Linked DNA regions of Rattus norvegicus. The main gene of each other region encodes a partner of the protein of the gene in region 2 in a complex. Links are inferred from orthologs where the notes say so. Each region holds a gene or a part of one and is shown on either strand. Other genes may lie near its edges.

Region 1 (4,300 bases), on a different chromosome or scaffold from region 2:
CATGAATTCAAGGCTGTCTGGGCCACACAATGAAACCGTGCTGGATGGAGATGGTTCTTCAATTACAAGCTTTTCAAGAGGACCTAGAGCTCAGTTCCCAGCGCCCACATGGACGTTCACAACAGCCTGTAACTCCTGCTCCAAGAGATCCCATACTGTCTCTGGTCTCCACAGAATCCTGCATGCATTTGGTGCACACAAACTCATGCAGGCCACAACAAACACAAGTCAAGTAGATATTTAAAGAGCCATTTTGGAAATGGTAAGATAAAGGGAAAGAGAAAAGAAACCGCATTTTAGTCTTTCTTCCAGGTTGTATCCAGAATGACATGTTTTCCTTTTAAAGAGTACTTACTTATTTATTATTTGTGTATGGTGTGTGTTCATGGGGGAAAGCAGGGTATGTATTTGGGCACAAATTACCACATCCCTGTGGACATCAGAGGGTAATTTTCAGGAGTTAGTCTTCTCCCACTGTGGGTTGTAATTCAGGTTGTCAGACCTGTCTGCCACCTATACCCACTGTGTGCCACCTATACCCACTGTGTGCCACCTATATCCACTGTGTGCCACCTATACCCACTGTGTGCCACCTATACCCACTGTGTGCCACCTATACCCACTTGTGCCACCTATACCCACTTGCGCCACCAACACCCACTGTGTGCCACCTATACCCACTTGTGCCACCTACACCCACTGTGTGCCACCTATACCCACTGTGTGCCACCTATACCCATTTGTGCCACCTATACCCACTGTGTGCCGCCTACACCCACTGTGTGCCACCTACACCCACTGTGTGCCACCTACACCCACTGTGTGCCACCTATACCCACTTGTGCCACCTATACCCACTAAGCCACTCCACCTTCCCAAGGCTCTACTTTCCAAAGCATTGGCCTTACTTCTTACAGACATTGAGTAGCGTTTTTGTAACACAAATAATATTACATATATTATCATACATTTCTCACTTAACGATGTTTGGCTGTTAAAATATCTTGGATGGCCTTAAATGTAGCAATCTCCTCCCCAACACCCCCAAATGTTTCACTGAGGGCATAGAACCATCTTAAAATGAGGACTCCAAGATTACCACAGAACTTTGTGGAGGAAGCAAAATAGCACTGAGAAGATCAATGGTTGCCAAGAGTTGAAGATAGGAACGAGCTAACTCCAAGGGACACAGGAAAGAAAATCTCGGGGTGATAGGAACCGGTTTTACACCTTAATTACAGTGGCAGTCAACACTCCAAAGCATGAATTTGACTATATGTAAAGGTAAAAATCCGCTCCCGTGCCAGGGAGATGGCTCAGTGGCTAGCCATCTGCCACACAAACATGAGTACAGTTCTGTTCAGATCTCCAGAACCCACAGAAATGTCAATGGGCATGGCAACCTCCTTGAAGTCCCAGTGCTCCCAAGGCGGAGACAGGGCATCTCCGGAGCAAACTGGCTAGCAAGACTACTCCAATCAGTGAACTCTGGGTTCAGCTGAGAGACCCTGTATCAAAGAATAAGGTGGAAAACTCCAAATCAGCCTTGGGCCTCTACACGCACATGCAAACACATTCACACCTGAGCACCCACATAGAAGAACACACAAACAACATACACACATATACAGTGTTTATTTCTAAAAAAAGCCTTAATGCACACTTCCTCAAATACACAAACACTTAGTCTAGTGGCTGTATTTCTTAGAGGAACCTTTCAACTGAAGCAATTTATCAATGTGCTTCAACTTCCAACCAATGAACTTGGCGAGGGTCTAGGAACAATACCCCCCACCTTGGCAAGCACAGACCTCAGTAACAGTACCTGCAGGAGTACCCTGGTCTCAGTGGTGCTTCAAACACGACTCAACTAAGCGATCGGTTAGCAGACAACCAAGAGAAATCTCGAGGATCACCCTTGTACTGTCCCGTGTAAACACACGGATTGCCCGATGCTTCCCTCTGCCTAGCCCCCTCACCAATCCCCAGCTGCAAATCTCTTCCTTCTTTCCTCACACTCACGAAATGTTGCAAATTACGCAGATGCTTTAGGCTTAAAGTACAAAATTCGGTATGAATGTGCGGCGGCGCACTACTGCTCCGGAACAATCCCGTTTCCTTAACAAAGCCCAAAATGCCTCTCTCCAAGAATCTTGAGAACCGACTTCCCTAGACTACACTCTCCTTCCTTTCCTCTGAAGGCAGAACCATGGTGGACTCGGGTTTGTTTTGCCACTTTAGTGCAACATTAACTATCCGCCGATCCTTACTTTTCAACAGTAAAATACTAAGCATTAACGTTGTCTCTTCCTCTTTGGAGCTAAACCTCGTGCCGGAAGCTCGAGATCTGGGATCCTCTGGGATCCAAGGATCCAGGGTGAGTCGGGGCGGGGGTTTGGGGGTTCGGGACCCGGGGGCCGGGCCACCGGAGTGCCGGTTGCGCACCGCAGAGGGAACAGGGATTTAGCACTGGGGAGCCCACGGCCCGGGGATTCTGGAATGTGATTCCCGGGAGGGAGCCGTGGAGCCGCCGAGCTGGGCCGGGAGTCCCGGGCTCGGGAGCTGCCATGCAGAGACCCGGAGACTCCAGAGCCCAGAAGGCAATCCCGGGAGGCCGTGCGGTCCCGGAGGCTGTGCAGAGACCGTCTGCAGGCTCGCCCCACCAGACTACGAGTAGAGCAAGGACCCCGAGGCCAGGCGACCGCCCTTACCTGGTCTGAGCCGCCTTCGGTTGTCCAGGGCGGCCCGGGAGCTTTCCTACCCCAGTGAGTCACTCGGGCGGGTCGGGAATGCACCAGGAAACACCCGGCCTCCTCCCCTTCCTCCGGGGCGGCGCTCCGCGGCTCGGCCTCTTCCTCCCGGCGCTCCTCCCTCCTCCCGCTGGCCGCCTTGGGACCGGCTCCTCCAGGCAGGCCCGGTCGGCCCCCAAGTCTCTCCAAGTCTCCCGTACCGTAGCCCCGCCTGCCGCCTGCCGCCTGCTGCTCAGATCACCGCAGCAAAGCAAGCCGGGATTTGCTTGGTGGACTCCACCCGTCAAGCCCGCTGGGAGAGGATGGAGACTCAGCTCCACACCGCCTGGCTCACCAGCCTCCCGAGTTTTCCGTGATTTGGGGGACCTCTGCTGAGACTAAGGTCCATCATCCTGGAAAGAATTTCAGGACTAGCCAGTATAGAGCTGGAAATTTCACTAAGGATACTTTTTTTTAAAAGTTCATTTTATTTTGAGTATGAACGTTTGTTTGGCTTACTTGTGTGTATGTGCACCACGAGAGTGCCTGGAGCCCGCAAAGGTCCGAAAAGGGCGCTGGATCCCCCAGCAAGTGAGCCGATTACATGGGTTATGGGAATCCAACCTCGATTTTTCTGCAAGAACAACGTGGTGGTTCATTTTACTATAACTTGTCATCAGTGTTGGTGAGAAGCCTCAGTAAATCCATGAGTGATGGAGTTTATCTTCCTCCCCAAGTTTTCATTGCCCTCCTGTCCTGCCTCTGGTTAAACTTAAAAAGAGACACAGAAGGTACAACCATGACAGAGAAGGGGGCGCCTATATGTGTTAAATGGTGGGAGCAAGTCTGGAGGAGCATGTATATACTCCAGACCCAAGTAAGTATCCCCTGAAATAACAGTGCTACCTACCATCTAATCTGCCTTCTGAGCACCGGCAAACACAAGTTCACACTCCCAGGAATGGCTGACAAAAGAAAACATGACTTGAATTTGCCCTTCCTTGACCCCAAGAAAAAGAGGGAAAGGTTAAGTAATATGGTATTGCTGAACTTAGGGAGACAACTAACTCCAAACGACCTACCCTTCTCCACTCCTGACGACCCTCCTTACTGCCAAGAATTTTAACATTTTGTCTGTTGTTGGGGTCTGACAGTAACTAATGTAACCCAGGCTAGCCTTGAACTCCGGATCGTGTCTCCATCTCTCAAGTGATGAAATTACAGGCATTCACCATCATACCCAACTCCCACACCAGTTTGCCTTCCCCAACTAAACAAAAATAAATCTTTATTAAGTAACTTATGTAATTTTATTTACAGTAGATACATATCAGTGTTTTAACCACCTTAGGTTTATTACAAAATATGAGATGTTAAACTTATTTAAATGTATAATCCTTATAGCCTCTCTACATATTCGTAACAAGAGGATAAAAATCAACAAACACTAAACCATAATAATAATACAAATGTAACATGTTGATTCCTTGGTACAGCAAAATACAAAACACAGGCTTCCACTTCCTCCACTTCTACAGGACCATAGCCTAGGGACTAAGTTTCAATACTGG
Region 2 (7,613 bases):
TGTCAAAGTCTGCTTACCAAACCATCAGCTTTATATTGATAAACATACTACATTTTATAGTATTTGGTGCTCCTGTTTTCTTTCAAAGCTTTTCTTCCCATGTGTATGGGCAGTGTGCCGGCACACACAGATTTGTGCAGCATGTGTGTGCCTGGTGTGAAGGTTCTCCTGAACTCCTGTCAGACAGTTGTGAGCTACCTGCCATGTGGGGGCTGGGAAAAGTCCTCTTGAGGTGCTTTAACTGATGAGCCACCTCTCTAGCCCCTTTTAAAGCTTTTTAAATGTATATTTATTTACTATGTGTGTGTGTGTGTTTGTCTTGGTGTGGACCTGGAGGTCAGAGAACAACTTTACAAGAGGTCCTATTTGCACCATGAGGGTTCTAGCACTCCAACTCAGATCCTCAGGCTTGGCAACAAACATCTTTACCCCTAAGCCATCTATCTCACTGGACCTTTTTGTGCTCAATTTTATTTGCTGTAGGCTAAGCAAAATTCAAAATTCTGTTGCCTCTACTCTTGAGTGCTCAGATTTCAGGTGTGCACGACCACAGCAGGCTTCTCTTGTGTTTTAAGTCTTATTTTAAAAGCAGGTTTCTAAGCATAAAGAAAGAACTATCTGGGGGTTGGGGATTTAGCTCAGTGGTAGAGCGCTTGCCTAGCATGCGCAAGGCCCTGGGTTCGGTCCCCAGCTCCGGAAAAAAAAAAAGAAAAGAAAAAGAAAGAACTATCTGGACTAGGTGTGGTGCTGTATACCTGTAAATCCCAACACTGAGAAAGTATAGGAAGAACTCCCACCCCCACCTCAAATTTTTGGCTAACCAGTCTGGTCCAAATAAATAGTAAGTTCCAAGCCAACAATGGCTACACAAACCCAAAAGTAAAAACCACAAGAAATTATCCTCTAATTAAAGACTAATGTAAAGTATTCTCTAATAACAAGGAAAAACAGAGCAGAAGAAAAGCGAGCTATCTAAAAGAAGCACGAGTCACTAGAAACATGGCTGAGGACAGTTTTACCAGAGTCTAATCTTGACCGTGCCACAATTCCCAGCTTAACATGAGTGTAGCCTTTGCCACAAGTTCTGTGGAGCAATGTACTTCCCTTAATGTTCCCCTTTGAACTTCTCAATTTATATTTGTAACCCATTACTTACATAACTAAGCTCGAATACTTAAAACCATGTAGCATCAAATTGAAAATTACTTTATGGAAACTCCATAGACTAAAAATCTGGCAAGTGCTTACAAAAGGTTGGATATGTAGGGGGAGAAAAATCAACAGCTCATGACTCTCCAAGTCAGTGGTTCTCAACCCTCCTAAAGCTGTGACCCTTTAATGCAGTTCCTCATGTTATAGTGGTCCCAATACAATAAAACCATTTTCACTGCTACTTTCTAACTAATTTTGCTATTGTTATGAATCAATGTAAATATCTGTATTTTCTGGTGGTCTTAGGCAGCTCAGTCCTTAGACACCCCCCCCCCCGAAAGGGTCACACCCCACAGGTTGAGAACCAGTGTTCTAAGTGTTTACAATTAAATACTCTACCAAAACAAACAAAAAACTCACAAAAGCTCATAAGCTAAATAAAAATAGCAATGACCAAATAAGATTTTTAATTTTTACAAGCTTCAACTGTAATCCAATAGTAGACTAAATCATCTGTTTTTAAAAAGTACTAGTGTGCTCTAAGCCATGGGGATACCTCTAAGGTCTGCCCTGCACAGGACAGCAGACAACGTGGGCTTCTACATACAACCTTTCTGCCAAGCCTCTGAATAAAGTACTTCAAAAACAACGTACTGGTGTAGTTTAGTGCTAGAATAAACTTAGTAAATGCACCAGGTCCTGAGCTACAAATCAAGCATCCAAACCAAATCTTTTCAGTTTGGAGGGAATCCTGGAACTAGCTCTGTAGAACAAGCTGGGCTCAAACTCAAAGAAATGCCTCTGTCTCCCTAGTGCTGGGATGAAAGTAGCCCGCAGCCACCGCCCAGCTCCAAAAAAAAATCTTACAAATATTAAAATACTGTATGACTAGCCTCTAAGCAAGGGTGTGCTAACAGTAAACAGAAAATGAGCACCTCAGTGTCACTTTGCACACTGTCTCCAACTAGTTTCAACCCAAGTTCCACCCTTCACATGTTAGGCTTCTAGGCTTCTCTTGTCCTTAAATTTACACACACTATGCACATCAACAGGGTCATCAGTAGGAAGAGTATCTCACCTCTGAGCCTGACACTGGCAGTTAGGCTCCATAAGAGCTCACAAAGCACAGACCGCATTTTATATAACTTTGTATTCTAAATATCACTTGGTAACCACCCAAAAGGTATCAGCAACTCTGAGCTGACTCAGAACAAAATCCAATGACTACATTGTGGCTTTAGCACAATCCAAGACTTAAATGGAACTGAGAGTCATAGTTCACACTGCTGTTTTATTACTTAGGTCTTTTTAGTTTTGCCTCTATTATTACCTGTAATATTTTCCTCTAATACTGGTAGAGAAAGGTAGAAGATTCAGTCAGAAGTAGACGGCAGAACTTGTCAAGAGTTTAAGTTAAATTTAAATGCTTCCCCTCCTGTTCTTACATTGATATTCTAAAGTTAGTTAATTTCACTAACAACTTATTAGGCAGCTTTGCAAAATGCAGGAAAGCTGATGTCAATAAGGAACAAGTAAATCATGCCTCCACCCACAAAAAAGTAGTCTTGAATTCTGCCAAGATAAGGCTGTTTTGCAAACTAATCAAAATTATTCAGTCTATGGGTGAGTTTTAAAAATATCTGGCAAAGGTGGTATACAAAGGTTTCTGGTTGCTAGTCTATGCCTTTTTGCACCTGAGATTTTTATCACACAGGTGTGACATTCTTTAAAAATCTGGGATGGAAGACCAGTGAGCCAGCTGCCGGCAAACCCAAACCACAACAAAAACAACAACAAAAAAAATCACCACCTTCTGGCTACCGGGTTTACCTACGTGATGCTCTCTGTGCATCTTGCTTCAATTAACTTCAAAATAGCGCTTTAATTAAGAGGGAAGCAGTGTAGAGTGAGGAGGAATCATCAGTGGAAAAGCAGATGTTGAGGCGCTTAAGTGATGGTTCGGAAAAGGCTCCTGAATTTCGATTCTCAGGACTCCAAAAGCTGCCCTCTGACCTTCACACTCAAGCCCTGGCTCGCGCCGCTGCCCCCACGCTTAATTTTCCTTCCTTTAATTAAAGAAAAGATAATCTCCAAAGTTCCTATTTCCAAAATTAGTGTTCCTTGAGTATCTCCCAGACGATCTCCTCGCGTAAGAGTAGAAGAATCTACACGGTCCTCGGAGGCGTGCGCACTGCGCCGGGAGGATGAATGAATGGAAGCCCGGCGCGTGTGAAATGCAGGTCTACGGCCAGCCGACCCGCTGGAGCGAACTGTAGGCCTCGCTCCTCCCCCTTCCCTCCTCCATGACAGCCCAGTCCCGGCGTGGAGGGGCCAGGACAATGTGATCACCTTCTCGGCCGGCCCCCTTCCCCGGCCCCCGGAGGTGCGCGACACGACCCCTGGGCGTGCTCTCCACTCAACGCCACAGCCCCCAGCTCCCCGCGGGACGCGCTCCCCTTCTTGCCGCGCCCCGCCCGCCCGGCCCCGCGCGCCCACCGGCTCCGCCAACCCACCCTCCTCCACAGCTTGAGAGCGCGGCCCGCACGAGGACCCCGGCGGCGGGGCGCGGGCGACGGCGAGGCGCCGCTGCCTCAGGCTCCCTCTGACTCTTTCAGGCCAGCTCGCCGCCCACCCGCCCCGCCAACCACGGTGCCCGCTAGGAGCCGCCCGCCCCACGCCCACCGGGACCCCAGACCGATCCCGCGCTGGCGGCCCGAGCCGCCCTCCGCCGGCCGCACCGCAGGGCCGCGCGGCGCCCCTCCCCCACCGACCCGGTGCCCGGGCCCCCACACGGCGTGTGCGCTCCACGCTGCCGCCGCCAGCCTCCCGGCGCCGAGGCTGCCCGCGGAAGGTCAGGCCGGTGGGAAAGGGGCAGGACGCGGCCGGAGGCGCTGTGCGCGCCGGGAACGCCGTCCTGCGGACAGTCCCTGAGCGGAGGAAGCCAGAGCGCGGGGACCTCGGGGGTGGGGGCCGAAGGCAATACTCACCGGTTCCACAGTCGCCATCTTAGATCGATCTGATCGCACAACCGCTCCTGAAGGGGGGGCGAGAGGAAAAAAATGAGATTCAAACCGGATTGGCCGGCTCCTGCCCACGTGACGGACGTGTCCGTTTGGCCCTGGCGGCGCCTGCGCAAGACTGCAGCTGCTTGGGGAACAAGAGGCTTCTGGGAAGTGGAGTCTCTTTTTTTTTTTTTTTTTTTCTCTTAAGGCAAGGAAGTTTTTTCTCCCAAAAAAAAAAAAAAGTGATCACGTGGTCGCTGGCGAGGGTGCGCGGCTCCCAGCGCCGCCCGCACTTCCTGCAGAGTAGGTTTTAGGCCTCTGCGGTGCAGCGGGCAGAGCTCCGGTTGCTCTCACTGCTGGGCATTCCTGCTGTGCCCTCTGTCGCCCAGTCCTCCCATCTTTCCTAGAAGGTTGAGAACTGCAGGCTCAGCACACGCAAGAAGGCTTCATTTGCTTAGCTGAGGTCCTAAGACAAGTTGCTTGTGTTTTTATTTAGTTTTCTTTTCGCCTCCCACCATTTTCTCTTGGTTTCAGAAAGAGGCGGCGATGGAGAGTCGTTGATGAGGTCTGCGTTCCCCCGTCCCCGGTCCACTAACGCGGGTGGTCCCTTGCTGCCATCGCTGCCCAAGCGGGTGGGCGGGCTTGCCCACGGTACCCACTCACACGCTTGGGGAAGGGGAGTGCACGCGTCGGCTTTTCCTGTTCCCAGTCCTGAGATGAAGGCGTCAGGGGTGAATCTTGCTGGACGTAAAAAGTTTGGAAAGTTCTGTCCAATCGGTTCCAGTATTCTGCTTGGACGTGAACGGAAATAGCCTACGTCCAGGTGCCAGCCAGGGAAGCCACTCCGGGCTCCGCTGACTCAGCCCTGGACTGAGGGTCAGGAGTCGTTAAGCCGGGTCAACTATGACTCTTGACGTTGACTCATGCTCCTTAGGCGAGTGACTTAATCACTCAGCGCCTCAGCTTTTTCATTTATGAACCAAAGATGATAATACACTTACCTCACAAGGGTGTGCTGTGGTAAGGACTGTAACCAGCTTTGAAAACGCTTCGGAATCTAGAAGCAAGCGCGTGCCTTCTAAGCACCGGCTGCCTCCGCCTCCGCTGCTGTTTTAACAATTTTTTTTCTTGACCCTGGGTCTCCTGTAGCGCACGGTGGCTTTGAACTTAAGATGTAGGGGAGGATGGTCTTGAACTGTTGATCCTCCTGCCTCCACCTCCCTGTCAAAGTACTGGGATTACTGGCACGTGCTGGTAGTGGGGGCGGGGAGAGCCCTTTTTTGCTGAGAGGGATGGAACTCGGGGCTTCGGAGTGCTAAATAAGCACTCTACCAACTGAGTTATATCCCCAACCCTTAACAATGTTTTAAATTTTTCTTTTGTTTACTTTGTTACGTACACCAATGCAGTTTTAAAGTTTCAAGACTTTGCTTTTCTTTACGAATGTCGCTGCTCCCAACAGAAACTTCATGTTCATGAAATTATGTTCATAACAACTTCTAACAAGCAGAAATTTGCCCCTACACTGGCATGCCACATTTTCTTCTAAGTTACTGGGCCATCGTTTCTCAAGACCAAGACCGTGTTGAGTAAAGGTTCTAATGAGGAAGACAGGATCTCGTAGCTGTTTCCAGGAAGCTTAAGAATGTTACCACCAGGAAAAGCAGGCTATCTCTGCGCCGGCCTCTCCATGGCATTAGTGTTGTCCCGAGCTGTGTCACAGCTATTAACTATTATTGAGTACATAATGGATGCTTGGGTTGACTAACACATAATTGAGGCTGTGTAAGAACTCAGAGCCACTGCGGGGCTCTGTGTTTTTTTGTTTACCAGGATGGCAGAAGCGATTTACACGAAAGCTTTTGCTTAGTCAGCAGGAGTAGATTCTAAAGTTGACACAGTTCTGCAAACTAAACATAGGTGAATTTCTCTGTACAAATCTGTTACACTAACCGAAGTGATTACAATTGACCCCTTATTTTCTGTTGTCTGTAAAGTGATGTCTGGTTAATTCCTATGAAAAGACAGCACTAGGAGGCTGATTTGTAGCTCCGTTGATAGAGTACTCATATAGCCCAGAGCCCTGTTTTAGATCCCACAACACCACATAAACCCAGCTTGCTGGAGGATCCGGAGTTTAAACTCAGTGACATGCCAAGTTCCAGGCCAGCCAAAGAAACAGGAGAATCTCTATCCAAAGAAAGGAAAAGACAGCATAAATATCCTGTTTTGAGCTGCAAGATTACAGCAAAAACCAATCCATTGGCAAGAAAATATCCTGACGAGCCTGAAAGCCACCAATATAAAATTTTTGTTTTAAATAACATTTGTTTGTATTGTTTTTTTTTTTTCAACCTTCCTCCTCTATTGTTACTGAAGACTCATATTTTGGGCTAGGGTGTGTAACTCAGGGGTAGAATGTTTGCCTAGTTTGCTTAAGACTGGATGCAATTCCCAGTACCCCTGTGCCCCACAAAAAGATGTGTGCTTTCATAGTATGCCCCATTCTATATAGTTTAATTGATCTCTATATCTGTATGTGATTTATTGACTATTTTTACCATTTCAGATGTGTTTGCCTAGTGTCGACACTTAGGATTTCATCCTGTCAAATATCTGGAGGCTAGATTTTATGTGTTATGTCTGCCTGTATGCAATCACTTTCATTTTGCTTACTTATCACATATTTGTGAGGTTAGAGTCTATGCTGTCCAAGGCAGTCTTGAACTCATACACTCAAAGGATCCTCTTACCCAGTCTTCCAAAGAAGCTGGAACTAAAGGGATAGCTGGGCCCAGTCATCACCTCACTACCACACCCGGGCTTGTGCATGTAGTGGCACATGCCTTTAGTCAGAGTGCTCAGGAAATAAAGGCAGGTGGATCTCTGAGTTCAAGGCCAGCCTGGTCTACAAATCAAGTCCAGGACAGCCAAGGCTCAGTTACACAGAGAAACCTGATCTCAAAAAGCCAAAAGATAAAAAGAAAACAAAAGTTTGATTTAAAAAGTCAAGCTACTGAATAAGAGAGGCTATGATGCTGGCCTATATGATGGGGTTGTCTGGATCACACACAACTACTTTGGCCCAACGTACTGTCACTATAACTATTCCTTATAATCCTGATCTGATTGAATATTATAAAGCTTTAGTAAATAGTGAAGATAGTTTCTCAATATAACACATTCCTCCAGCTGGTATGTTGCCACTCTTTATACTTTAACTCACATTAAGACTTCAAACGTCACGTACTTTGTCTTTGGAGTTTTAGTTCCCTGGTTTAGATGACTGAAGTGATTGTTTTTGCTAGACTTTTTGACTATGGTTGAAACTAAACATACCTGCTCTGATCTATATAAAAACGTTCCTGCTCACTGTCTAGGGTTTCCATTGTCGTTTTCACTTTAGCAAGCTTCAAAACTTTGGACATCCATGGCTCCCGATAAGCACTAAGCAGACTT
Region 3 (4,223 bases), on a different chromosome or scaffold from region 2:
TCATTCCAAAGGGGTAAAAGTCAGCAAGCATTGTACATCTCTAAATGCTGCCACCGAGCTAAATGCTATCTATACAAGACTGTCTAGCATGCCATGGGGCGCATATTTTTAAACCCAGCACTAGAGAGGCAGAGCTGGTCAGGGCTACACAATGAGACCCTGTCTCAAAAATCAAATCAAAACCAACTCAGCTCCAACCCCTCCCCTGCAGTGTCATCTCCTTACAACCAGGAAGCAAGCACTCCTCATCAAAATCCAAAGACTGCTAGGCACCGTAGCCTTTAATGCCACTGCTCAGGAGGCAGAGGCAGGGGCATCTCAGTGAGTTCCAGAACAGTGAGACCCTACCTCTGAAACAAACGACTATGTCTGGAAGCTCTATAGAGGCAGGCTGAGAATGCCCGGGCATGCAGTGACTACATAAGAAGGGTAAATGAACGAGTATTTGCAGCAGACCTTCCCAAGTATCCCAGAGCTAATTCAAGCTGCAAGACAGCTTCTACCTCTAAAGCGAGGCTTGGAGACTCAGTGCCTTTCCTGCTTCTGAAAGCAAGCAGCTTGGTGTTTGCAATATGACCACAGGCTTTTCCCTCAGGAGAACAAGATTAATGTCAGTTAAAAAGTCTGCTTCCTCCCCAAGTAAATCAGAGCTAAACGTACCTGCTATGGTCACATGTGCTCTGAGCTGCTAGAAGCATGGCACTTTACTGACTCTGGAGTAAATTACAGTTCTCTCTCCCACACCTTAGGAATGATTTTTTTTTTCTTTTTTGAGACATGCTCTTACTATGTAGCCTTAGCTGTCCTGGAACTCACTATGTACAATGGGTTAGCCTTGAAATCCCAGAGATCAACCTGTCTCCGCCTGGCCAGTGCTGGCCACTAATCTCTGTTTCTTAAAAGTTATCTGTTCAAGTGGAAACAATTCCACTCAGGGCTGACCAAGATCTTTTCTGATTTTTGTTACACCAGATACAGAGGGACACACACCAATAAATCCCAGCACTCAGGAGGTTAAGGATGCAAGGTCATGGGTTTGGGGATCACTTAAAGAGGTTCAAGGTATATGTATATGGACCACATGGAGAAACTGTTTCAAGAAAAAAGGAAGAGGAAAGAAAGATTATAACCTGCTGGAAAAAAAGCAGATAAGAAAGCCGTCTTCAGCAACTTAAACAGCTGCCCCCTCAGCAGGATCTCCACTGTCTTTCCCATCTTAAACACAGCTCTCCCCAATGAATGCAGCTTCCTCTTGCCTGGGCCATTTGAAAGGTCTTTCAGGGCATTTATGTCTTTCTACTATCCTTTCTCTAGACCTGCCAGGCTAGATCCTCTGCCAGCTTTTCTTCTAGATGTTTGCTTTGATTTTTTTTTTTTTGCCCCCTTCCTTGTTTGGTTGGTTTTTTGTTTGTTTTCTGAGACAGGGTGTGATGCTGTAGCACAGGCTGTCCCGGAACTCATTAGGTAGCCAGGGCTGGCCTTAAAACTGCCATTCTCCTGCCCCTTCTTTCTGGAGTAGTAGGATCACAGCCCTAACTACCACACAAAGCCTTCTGGATTGCTGTCTTTTGGTGTTGGCAAAGTCCCCTTATTCTGTGCCTTCCAATTGCACAAGATTTCAGGACGGCCAGGCCCAGTTGCAAGCGATTGGTTAGGAGTCCTGCCTCATGATCAGCGATCTATAGACTGCAGGGGCTGCTTATCCTCTAGCCAAAGGCCAGCCCCCGGGTCACCAAAAGAAGGCAAAGTTCTAAGATTAGAAACGAAAAGCCAGTTCCCTTCATTAAGGCACCAAAGAACGCTTTCCAAGCTCCTCCCTCTTAGAGAACAGCCCAGAAAGGAGACAAACAACCTTTGCGCTTCCTCCTCGTGACCAATTCAACTTGCTTTACCTCTTCTCCAGTGATAGTACACAGTTCCCGGCCATCTTTCGAAAAGCAACTTCAGGAACCTCCCTTTGCCTAGGATCAAGCAACCTAACCCGACTAGGGTGTGCTGTCTGACAAAGCACCTTCAAAGCCGCTCCTCGAAAGCCCTGGTCTGAAACCTGACAGCGCCTCTACTAAAGCCATCAACTTCTTGGATACCAAAGGAGCTATTTTACACGCCCCACTTGTGAGAGTTGGGGCTCCCCCCAACCTGTGAATGACTCCTCCAACAAAGTAAACAATGCTGTCAAAGGAGGTTAACACTGGGCGAGGCATGCAAAGTGCATGCCAGCCTGGTCTCGGGACTCTAAGCGCAGCCAGAAGTCATCTTACGCTTCCGCGCCTCCCTTCCCTAATGCCCGTAGGACAACTCTAGAGGTAAGCTCCGCCGCGCAGAGTGCACGGTCTGCAGCCCACTGTCCGGGCGGCGGAGAGGAAGCTGTTGGTCCAGCGTGTAGTGTGCCACGCGCCAGCAGTGATGGCGGGCAGGCCGGGCGCCGCTCACCTCCCGGTGTTGTGGAGAACAGCGTCCCCCCGGGCGTGGTGCAGTAGTCCTGAGGTAGCTGCGCTGCGTCGCTAATAGCCACGGTGCGTGTCGGAATGGCGCGGCTCTGGCTGGGCTGGTGTCCACCACCGGCCGACGCGGACATGGCTCCGGGGCGGGCTCGTGGCTTTGTGCAGCGGCGGCGGCGGCGGCGGGGCCCGGGCGGCTGTGGCTCCTCGCGCTTGGCTCTCAGCGCTCTCGCTCGGTCCTGTTGCGCTCCTGCTCCCGCCGCCGCCGCCGCCGCCGCCGCCGCCGCCCGGTCCTCCGGCCTCCGCCTGCAGCCTCAGCAGCAGCAGCAGCAGCAGGAGCAGCGGCAGCAGCGGCAACGATGACTACCGGAAGCGGGCGAAGGCGGGAGCAAGGGGTAGTAGAGGGAGGGAAATATGGAGACCGGACATGACGCTAGAGGGCGTGTCTAGGGATGGTGGGCGGGGCTGAGGGCGGGGCTGAGGAAGACCTAGGCTAGAGGTAGAGGGTAAACCCGGAAATCCGAGAAAAAGGAAATGGTCAAAGGTGGAGCCTTAGGGTCTGGTGGGCGGGACTTGGAGGGGCGGGTCTGAGCTCTGTGGAACGGAATAGAGTTGACGCGAAGCTGAGTGTAGGTGATTAAGGGAGGCGGGGAAAACTTGTTTGTGGCGTATATGTCAACTATCTACTTTCCCGGTGCCTACTTCAGTTTCCCATCTATATCTAACCATTAAAAGCATAACGCTGGGGGGCAGGGAGGGCGGCAAAAAAAAAAAAAAGCATAATTCTGGGGAGCCGGTAAGATGGCTCAGCGGGTAAAGAAAGGTACTTGTCACCAAGCCTGCCGAGTTCCATCCCCAGATTCCAGCCAGTTGTCCTCTGACTTCTCCACACAGCCCATGAGCACCCATTCGCCCGCCCATAAATAAATAAATGTAATAAAAATATTTTAAGGAGTATAAATTTAGTTTTAATTATTATTAAATAAAAGCAATGCATGTATGATGAACTAAGGGTTAAAAAATCAAGGACTCTGGGGTTGGGGATTTAGCTCAGTGGTAGAGCGCTTGCATAGCAAGCTCAAGGCCCTGGGTTGGTCCCCAGCTCTGAAAAAAAGAAAAGAAAAAAAAAATCAAGGACTCTGAGGAAGGGCTCAGCAGTTAAGAGCACTTGATGCTCTTGCAGAGCACCAAGAGGACCAGAGTTCAGTTCCTAGCACACATGTGGTGGCTCAGAACCATTCATAACTGCTACAGTTTCAGGAATTTGACCTATCTCATTTTCTGATTTTTGTAACACCAGGCACGCGCGCACACACACACACACACACACACACACACACACACACACACACACACACAATGCATATACATACATGCAGACAACACACTACAAGAAAATAGGATGGTTAGGAGTTTAAGGCCCATCTATATTGCACAGCTAGTTTGATGCCAGCGAGGGATTCAAGAGACTGTCTGAAAAAGTCATGAAAAGTACAAGATGAGACGGGTCACCTGCTTGCTGTGTAAACATCACGACTTGAGTTCAATCCTTATCACCCACATTTAAATTTTTTTTTCTAAAGCCCAGATATTCCAGCACTTGGGAGGCAGAGGCAGGTGGATCTCTGAATTTGAGGCCAGCCTGGTCTACAGGGTGAATTCCAGAACAGCCAGGACTACACAAAGAAACCTTGTTTTGAAAAGCCAACAAACAAACAAACACCCAAAACAAAAAAACAAAAGCCCAAGGCCATATATGAAATATCCCCACGCTGTGAAGAG

What was found. Proteins that work in one complex are often made in the same cells at the same time.
Region 1: Eif4e (region 2) and Cyfip1 share a complex: the UniProt entries of both Homo sapiens proteins name them as parts of the CYFIP1-EIF4E-FMR1 complex. The link is inferred for Rattus norvegicus from reciprocal best matches to the Homo sapiens genes EIF4E and CYFIP1.
Region 3: the proteins of Eif4e (region 2) and Eif4ebp2 are in contact, whole or in part, in a crystal structure (PDB 3AM7), measured with the Homo sapiens proteins. The link is inferred for Rattus norvegicus from reciprocal best matches to the Homo sapiens genes EIF4E and EIF4EBP2. Residues at the interface, in NP_001959.1 of Homo sapiens: His37, Pro38, Leu39, Gln40, Val69, Trp73, Tyr76, Asn77, Leu131, Glu132, Leu135, Ile138, Gly139, Glu140, Ser141, Asp143, Asp144, Ser146, Asp147, Arg186; in NP_004087.1 of Homo sapiens: Pro47, Thr50, Arg51, Ile52, Ile53, Tyr54, Arg56, Phe58, Leu59, Leu60, Arg62, Arg63, Asn64.

Annotation. Positions count from the first base shown.
Region 1 is NC_086019.1:115,845,320-115,849,619, reverse strand, and holds the start of Cyfip1 (cytoplasmic FMR1-interacting protein 1), read right to left. Parts: upstream 2,801-4,300; 5' UTR 2,712-2,800; intron 1-2,711. UniProt on the Homo sapiens protein: Component of the CYFIP1-EIF4E-FMR1 complex which binds to the mRNA cap and mediates translational repression. In the CYFIP1-EIF4E-FMR1 complex this subunit is an adapter between EIF4E and FMR1.
Region 2 is NC_086020.1:229,737,310-229,744,922, reverse strand, and holds the start of Eif4e (eukaryotic translation initiation factor 4E), read right to left. Parts: upstream 4,171-7,613; 5' UTR 4,158-4,170; coding exon 4,140-4,157; intron 3,738-4,139; exon of another isoform or gene 3,666-3,737; intron 1-3,665. UniProt on the Homo sapiens protein: Acts in the cytoplasm to initiate and regulate protein synthesis and is required in the nucleus for export of a subset of mRNAs from the nucleus to the cytoplasm which promotes processes such as RNA capping, processing and splicing.
Region 3 is NC_086038.1:29,940,123-29,944,345, forward strand, and holds the start of Eif4ebp2 (eukaryotic translation initiation factor 4E-binding protein 2), read right to left. Parts: upstream 2,801-4,223; 5' UTR 2,579-2,800; coding exon 2,434-2,578; intron 1-2,433.